2 linked regions of the Nothobranchius furzeri genome follow. The protein of the gene in region 1 interacts with the protein of each later gene in a pairwise test. Links are inferred from orthologs where the notes say so. Each region holds a gene or a part of one and is shown on either strand. Other genes may lie near its edges.

Evidence for each region.
Region 2: the proteins of pnrc2 (region 1) and esrrga interact in binary tests that used the Homo sapiens proteins (3 or more experiments, as listed by UniProt). The link is inferred for Nothobranchius furzeri from reciprocal best matches to the Homo sapiens genes PNRC2 and ESRRG.

Annotation. Positions count from the first base shown.
Region 1 is NC_091745.1:69,954,677-69,958,836, forward strand, and holds pnrc2 (proline-rich nuclear receptor coactivator 2), read right to left. Parts: upstream 2,628-4,160; 5' UTR 2,440-2,627; intron 1,983-2,439; 5' UTR 1,764-1,982; intron 1,564-1,763; 5' UTR 1,544-1,563; coding exon 1,079-1,543; 3' UTR 538-1,078; downstream 1-537. UniProt on the Homo sapiens protein: Involved in nonsense-mediated mRNA decay (NMD) by acting as a bridge between the mRNA decapping complex and the NMD machinery. May act by targeting the NMD machinery to the P-body and recruiting the decapping machinery to aberrant mRNAs.
Region 2 is NC_091749.1:33,730,798-33,734,449, reverse strand, and holds part of esrrga (estrogen-related receptor gamma a), read right to left. Parts: intron 1,132-3,652; coding exon 1,003-1,131; intron 1-1,002. UniProt on the Homo sapiens protein: Orphan receptor that acts as a transcription activator in the absence of bound ligand. Binds specifically to an estrogen response element and activates reporter genes controlled by estrogen response elements.

The DNA of each region.
Region 1 (4,160 bases):
CTCCTGGGTTCTACCTCACCTCAGACGTGCGCGCACCCAACTGGACCCCGTCGTAAAAACGAGGCCCTCTTCCGCGCGTTGGGAGCTGCGCCACCGTCGTGATGAGGCAGAGACTGAAGGGCAGTAACAGTACTGATCGAAACAGACGAATGTTTAGGGAATGCTAACCCATTCACCGCCGGGGCTGGCAAGAGAAAAGGAGTGGGAATCACGCCAACCACACGGGGGCCGTCAACAAAAAAAAAGCTTTGGTTACCCAGCGCTTCACATATCTTTCAATCACATCAAAAAGGACTTGTACAAAATAATGCTGTGATAGTGTTGCGGACTTCAGGCACACTCAACTCCTATAGTGCGTGTGCGCACAGCGCAATAAAAAAGGGATACAGGAGTTGGTGGTCTGAAGTCCATGTGCTATGGTCTCGTTCAAGCCTTCGAGGTCAGGCTTTCACCGTATCCACCAGCTCACGTTCAATAGAATATCATTTTTCCCTGCAGAACTACAGTTGAGTGCCTTTTTTCGTTCCAAACAAGGTATATATATTAGCTAAGAAAAAGGGGGGGGGCTCTTAAAAAAATGCTACAAACATGAACTCGCTTTAGCACCCGAAACTTTGGAAGTCCCTCCAAAGACTTTAACCTTAAAACCAAAACCAGTGAAGTAGCTCAGCTGCCCACAGAAATGGACCATAAAAGTAATGGATGTCACCTGACCTATAGTTCAACCCCTATTTGGGGGGGAAAAAAGAACACTCAATCTGCTCGGACAGCCAACTCTAAAAAGAACAAAACAAAAAAAAGGTAAAAAGAATCCAGTTTGTCGTCGTTTTACAAAAACTGGCTCCATTTAAGGCATGCCCAACCAACAAGGCAGCAAAGCTGTAATAGCTTAAAAGTCTATTTAAAAGAAATTGACTCAACGTCAATTCACTGCTTTAAATGTCCACGTTTAGCTACGGATGATGTCTGTTAAAACGTTAAGTGTATTACAGCTTTGAGGCATTCCTGGTGAGCAAATGCCTCAACAGAGTCACAGTCTAAGCATTGGCTCTAGTTAGGTGAAGTGTGTGTACTCAGCTCAAGCCTGCACCTTCAGCAGGTTTTTGAGCTCGAAGGCCATCATCTCCCTGTGGTCACAGGACGCTATAGGGAAAGACACCCAGTGACTCGGGGGTTTGGGCAACACGCTAGGTGAGGGGGGCTCACTGAACTTAGGGCCTGCATAGCTCGGGCTGCCCTGGGTTGACAGGAGCGTGTTAAGATGAGACACTGCACCCTCCCAGCTTTCGTAGTTGGTGGCAAACCGGACAGAAGCATTCTTCTCCAAGGACATGGCCTGCCATGCCTCTGGAGATCTGTGGTAGGCAGGGCCTTTGTCGCTCCGACGGTGGCTGTGGTGGTGAAGGGCCCCCGTTCCTCCTACAGATGCTGCTGTGGTTCCGTTCTGGTCACGGCTTCTCTGCTTAGCCTTGCCAAGCTGATGGGCTTTTTTGGGGCGATCCGGGTGGGAAATTGGAATGTTGTACCTCTCTCCACCTCCCATGTTTCACTACTACCTGTCACCTGCAAGACAATTATAAAACGTTACCATTTTCGTTTTTAAAATAAAAGTTATTGCGTAAAAGGCACTCTGCACTGCACCCTCCACAAAAAAACAAGCTGCTGCAGCAGCTACGTGCAGGAGCTGCAGACGTCCAGGGCTGCGCTGCCCCTCCCCCACACACAACCCAGAGCAAAAACACCCCCAGCCAGGCAGCTCTCACCTCTTTGTTGTGAGAGAGTGGACGTGGCTGAGATCCCTCTTTAATCTTTCACCTCCGATCGGTCCCCAGGTCCTCGAAGTAGCTCTCTGTCTACTTCTCGCTGCACTTAGAAGTCCAGCAAGGTCTGAAGTTTTCATGTGCCAATGAGCGTTGTTTTCCCGTGAAGCCGAGCTGAACATCAATTCACCTCGGCGCACGATGCTCCAAGAAGTCGAGAGCCTTAAAAATGCGTGAAAAGGCGTTTTTTAGATGCGCAAACTAGCGACAATAATATACAAAACAAAAGCTACGCACGTCTTTATTATGTAACAAGGCATTAATTAGCTGTAACAATGGTGTACGCCACAATGCGTCATGACAAAGACAAAAACAACACCCCGTCGTCTTATTTCTAACTTCTCAGGGTTTATTGATATAAAAATGAACAAATAAACACAAAATAGCATAAAAACGCATTTAGTATTAATCATTGTTCCAACCACTTACGATGAATTTGATTAATAAAGTTCGATGAAAATATGGCAAGTCGCACTTTAGTTAACTAATTTCACATTTACAAACGCTAGAAACACAAATCAAACGGCTACCCAATCCGTATCGCTGTATTTTGCCACATAACCAAAACAAAAGAAACGGAACTCAACATGGCGACGAGACTCAAAACAGCTTCTCTTACCGACTTCCTCAGGCTTGGTTGTTAAAGCCTTTCTTTGAAAATATTTATGTGGTTAGCCTCTGATTTCACTCCGTGGACTGTGTAGGAAGCACAGAAGTCTATGTTTCCTACAAATCCGTCACCCTTTGAGGCTTGTGTGCTGTTACCGGTGGCCGTCGAAACGCCACTTCTCCCTTCCGTTTCTGATTGCAACAAAATGGAATCTTCACCACAGCTATGTAGTCCGTGCTCGCACGGAGCCAACCAATCACGTAGGGAATGCGTTCCGAGCGACCAATTACAGGAGAGGTAAGCGGACGCGCTCGAGCCTGTTGCCAGACTGCTGACGTCAATGGCTGACCCTCCTCCCTCCCATTCCTTTGTTGGAAATGGTTAGGGTATTTCCGGGTATTTCCTAAGAGAAGTGACAAAACAACTCAAAACAATCACTCTCGATGACGAAAATCTCACGTTTACAAGCAAAAGAGCAAGTATGAAGTGTCCCTGTGGTACATAAAACACCGTATATTAGCTTCAAGTCGACAGCGCAATCGTGTTTTGTTATGCAACAAGATAAATACAACAACCTTTCAGATTTAACTGTTTTTCTGAAACAGAATGCCACTGTTTGTTTGTTTTTTTGCGTTTTGTGGGTTGAATCTGTTCTTCAGCTCTGACCAGTTGCAACAGGATGTAATAACCATAACACAAGACATAAACCAGTGACTGTAGAAAACTATGACACCACCCATCCCCCAACGTTGGCTCAAGTTACAATTATTTCACCAAAACTCTTTTTCAGATTCTCAATCCAGGTTTGATTAAGAGTGCTATAACAGCCACCTGAATGTTTTAAAAAAAAGTGTTTTGGAATAAATAAATAAATAAATAAATAAATAAATAAATAAATAAATAAATAAATAAATAAATAAATAAATAATACGGTTGAGAGAGCTGCAGCATTGCAAAATTACATTTTTGGCAAGGGAATGGACAAAAAAAAGCCTACAATAGCCATGAAGTATCAGTAAGAAATGTCACATACTTTTTTGAAATAAAAGAAAATGGCAAAGATTTTTGCATGTAGCCTATATTTGAGTTGGTTCGATGTAAGTTTGACTTAAAGAGACAATAGCTATGTTTACATGGGGACAAGTAATCGGAATGAATGCCCTATAAGATCAAAGATTATTCACGTAAACATGTCAATTGGAATATTCTGATCCGATACAGCTCATTTGGAATGAAATTCCATTGAGATAGGTGATTTTGTCCAATCAACACTCCAATTGACGTCCATGTACACTCATTTGGATTCTTGGGGTAATGCCCACTGAGCATGTGTGCAACTTTGGCGTGACATTTTTCCGCTTCTGCAGACGCTCAGGACAAGTCAAAAACATGACAGGAGGCGAACAGAAGTTATCCTGCTCCCCTCTTCTGTGGAGGAAATGGTGTTACGTACCGCTGAGCCTAGCTTAGTTAAAGTGATAGGTAAAATCTAAAGCATCGGATAATTTCAGTTAGTGTCCATGTAAACAGAGATTTGGGATTTCTGAACAACCAAAATTTGAATTGGATGGGGGAAATTTGGCGCATGTAAATGTAGCTAATGGGTTGTTCTTGCCGTTAATCTCTGGAAATATCCCTTTAAACATTATTGAAAATTAATAAAATGATGTCCAGTTGTTGAAAAATGTTAGCGGCATGGTACCATATAACCATAAAAATCGGGTATATAG
Region 2 (3,652 bases), on another chromosome or scaffold:
AAGAGCAAGTTGGACAGAAAATAAGCACTGTTGAGGTTGTTTGTTATTTCCTGTCTGAATGTGCTGTACTGAAGTCCGGACTCAGTCGGTTTCTCCCAAATAGCAGCAGGTACTTTACTGTTGACTTTGTGTGGTGACTGAAGGGGACGATGAACGAATGACAGACAAAAGAAGCATCAGAAGGAACGAAGTAATACAGAGTGGGAGAAGTGCAGAGAGTGATGAAAACAGCAATGGATGGAGGGAGGCCTGGCAGGGCGTCGGCACAGCCACGCTCCCTGACCACTGTAAGGAATGGGGCATAGGGCAGGTCTCCCATCAATTACAACCTTGACCCTTCTCTCCTCTCCTTTCTCTCCCCACTCTCACACACTTTCTGCCTCATTCAACCATCCTCCCACTGCCTCTCATCCTCCCTTGGTCCCCCTCCTCTGCCCCTATAAATCAATCTCCCCCCTCCTTCTCTCCTTCTGTCTTTCCCTCCCTTTCCCCGAGGCTTCTCCCACCTTCCCCCTCCTATCTCCGCTTCTCTCTGTCTATGCTCCTCTTCATCCCTCACCACTCCTCTACCTCTTTTCATCGTTGGAAGAGCAGTGGGAGTAGAAAGGTCAGAGGTGGGCAGACAGGAGAGGGAGAAAGAAGCAAAAGGCAACAAGGGAATGTGAAAATGAGTGAGTGTATTTTATCAAAATGTTGTACGGGCTAATTAAACCCCTTGTTTGTTTGTTTGTTTGTTTACACCACTGAACGACTGCTGAGTATCACTTTAGGACTTAAATTATCTTATTTATGGCAAATAAAACAAGGATGTAGTCAGAGGCTGTTTTCATCCTCAGCATGTCTAAGCAAAATAAAATAAATCAAATTATTCATTCCTGAATTATGTTTTCTACATTTAAATGACAGAAACTATTTAGACTGGCAGTGGTGCAGATATATTTCACCAATAATAAAAAAGAAAAAAAAACATGATAAGGTAATAGAAGAAGGTAAGGGAGAGACCTTTTCCCTTACCCTCTCTCAGCATGCCCACGGTCAGACACTTCATAAAGCGGCACGCCTGGCACGATTTGCGTCTCCTTTTGGTGATCTCACACTCGTTGGTGGCTGGACAGCTGTACTCAATGTTCCCTGCATGTAGACATGTTGGAGGAAAAAAAACACAAGGACAGGTTTCATTTCATATAGATACAGAAGGAGGCAGACAGGCAGGAAGGCATTCAAACAGAAATGTGAAGCAAGACAAACAAACCCCATAAAGTCCCGGTTCTGATACAGATTAGACAAAATAAATAACGTTATTAAACACATCTATATGACCCAATAAACTGAGCTAGCCTTATGCTATATTGGTTGGTCCTTCGTTGGCATAAAAGAGTTCTGAAACCAGCCACTATAGGAGTTCTGGGATACTTATGGGAGGCAGGAAGGTGACAGGGAACATATGTTCGATGGCTTGGTTCGCTCAACTGTTCTGTCTCCATACAAAATCAGTCCTTTGAGGACTTTGCTTGGACGTCAGCATGTCACGACCATTTCAGCAGTGAGTGACGTCACTGATCAACGTCAAATAGAGTCCACAGACATTTACATCACCCTTCATGGTACCTGGGAAAGATACCGTGTGATGTAAATTACTTCCATTATGCTTCACCAGCAACTTTTCCAATTTGACAAATGGCGATTGTTACAGTGACATCTGACAAAATGATTTCCTACTGAGTTGCAACCAATGAATTAAACACAAGAACTGGGCGGGGACTCCACCTGGCCATTTCTGAGAACATCCCCCAGTTCAGGTACTCGTTTGGTCCCTGAAATGAGGGAGGTATGGCCGGGAATGTGTTCCTTTGAGCTAGCTTGGTGAAAGGGAGACATGCTGTGAAGGTCTGGTAAAATTACGGGAATGGTCCAGTAGTGGAAACGGGTCTAAAACAATCTTCCTCTGGGTTATTTTTTAAAGGATGTGTTGCTGTGGACATAGCTTAAATTTGTGTGACAGTAAGGTTTGCTGTTTGCTAACAAGCTTCACAGCTTTCAGTCTAGCTAGTTTAGTCTCCATTAAAAAAAAACTTCCTCTTAGAAATTTTTCTTTTACTGCAACACTTTAGTCATTGTTAAATATTCTACCAGCATCTTAGTTTTAAACTCATAGTTTACTGAATCCTTTATAAAAATGTTCTAGTTGCCAAACCTTTTGGTGAATTTGTGGTGCAGGTGAAACTTCCTCAGCCTGACTGTTCAGAAAGGGTTTCTTTACCATCATAGCTGTGCTTTAATATTAAACCAACAGAAATGCTTCTCTTCCTCTCGCGCCCAACTGACAGCTACAGCACCCCACCGAGCTGATTCATCTCCCACTGAAACAGAGTAAACAGTGATTACTATTGACTGCAGCTGTAGAGAGGATGTTTTCCCATTACTGGGCTGATTAAGGCGCTAGTTAGCTTGGGAAAAGGCTAAATGCTCAAACACATCCTAATGGGTTAAAAGACACCCAATAATTGGCCTTGTTAGTTAAAGGCTAAACATGCTAAACGCTGAAGGAACTCTTACATTTTAATATATGCTACTAATGGGACTGGTTAGGCTCGCACCCAGCACTTCTACGCTGATGATACAGGAGGACCAGATTAATTCTGCTGTTAAGTGGGACACTTCACTTGCAGTAAGGCTAAATGTGCTAATGACATGGAATCTGCCTGGCTTAATGGGCACTCCGTAAAAGGCCTTGCTATTTCAGAGGAGCAGGCGAGCCTTGCTTGTTGAAAATAAAGAACCACTTCGGAGCTATATGCATGTAGGTTAAATGCAATGTGTTGTTTCCCCACTGGAATAAAAGTGGTTTGCTACTGTGTAACATGATAAAAATATTATTTTTAAAACTTAGAAATGGTGTCAGAAATAATATTTGTGTGTTTCACATCTGAATTTTAAACATCCGCGTGTGTGTGTGTGTGTGTGTGTGTGTGTGTGTGTGTGTGTGTGTGTGTGTGTGTGTGTGTGTGTGTGTGTGTGTGTGTGTGCATTTCTAAAGTCTGTGACACAAGCTGAACAACAAATGTTTTTGAGGTGTGTTTGTGTGAATGAAGGATGTATAGGAGGCTCCTAAATCCTCTGCAATCTCTTTGGAAGTGTGTGTGTGTGTTTGTGTGTGTGTGTGTGTGTTGTCCACACACTGCATCATAATTGACCTCCCTTGTACACACAGTGTCGTGTGAATTGTATCCTGACCGACCATTGTTGTACCATCTTTCTTTTGTCCTTTCATGTGTTCACAACATTTTTATTGTTGGCACCATGGATTTTAATATGTGAATTTTAACTAGAAATAGAAATAAAATGAAACAGAAGATAGAGATGAACTACGATGCAAAATCTTCCCATCTGCATCTGTTTTGCTGCCCTTTATTTCCCCTCCCTCTCTCTTGTTGTCTCCTTCTTTCCGTTTCATTGCCCCACACTTTGCCCTCCTCCACTTCTCCCTTTATCCCTCTTTCTCAATAAGGTAGTGATAGATGCAGGTTGTCAGGTGTCGCTGGACTGACGCCACAGAAACAGCAGCTGCCAGAGCCACTTCCTCCATGCGGCGACACACACACATGAAAAAGCACACCAGGCACACACATACCACTAATTCCTTCCTACATCA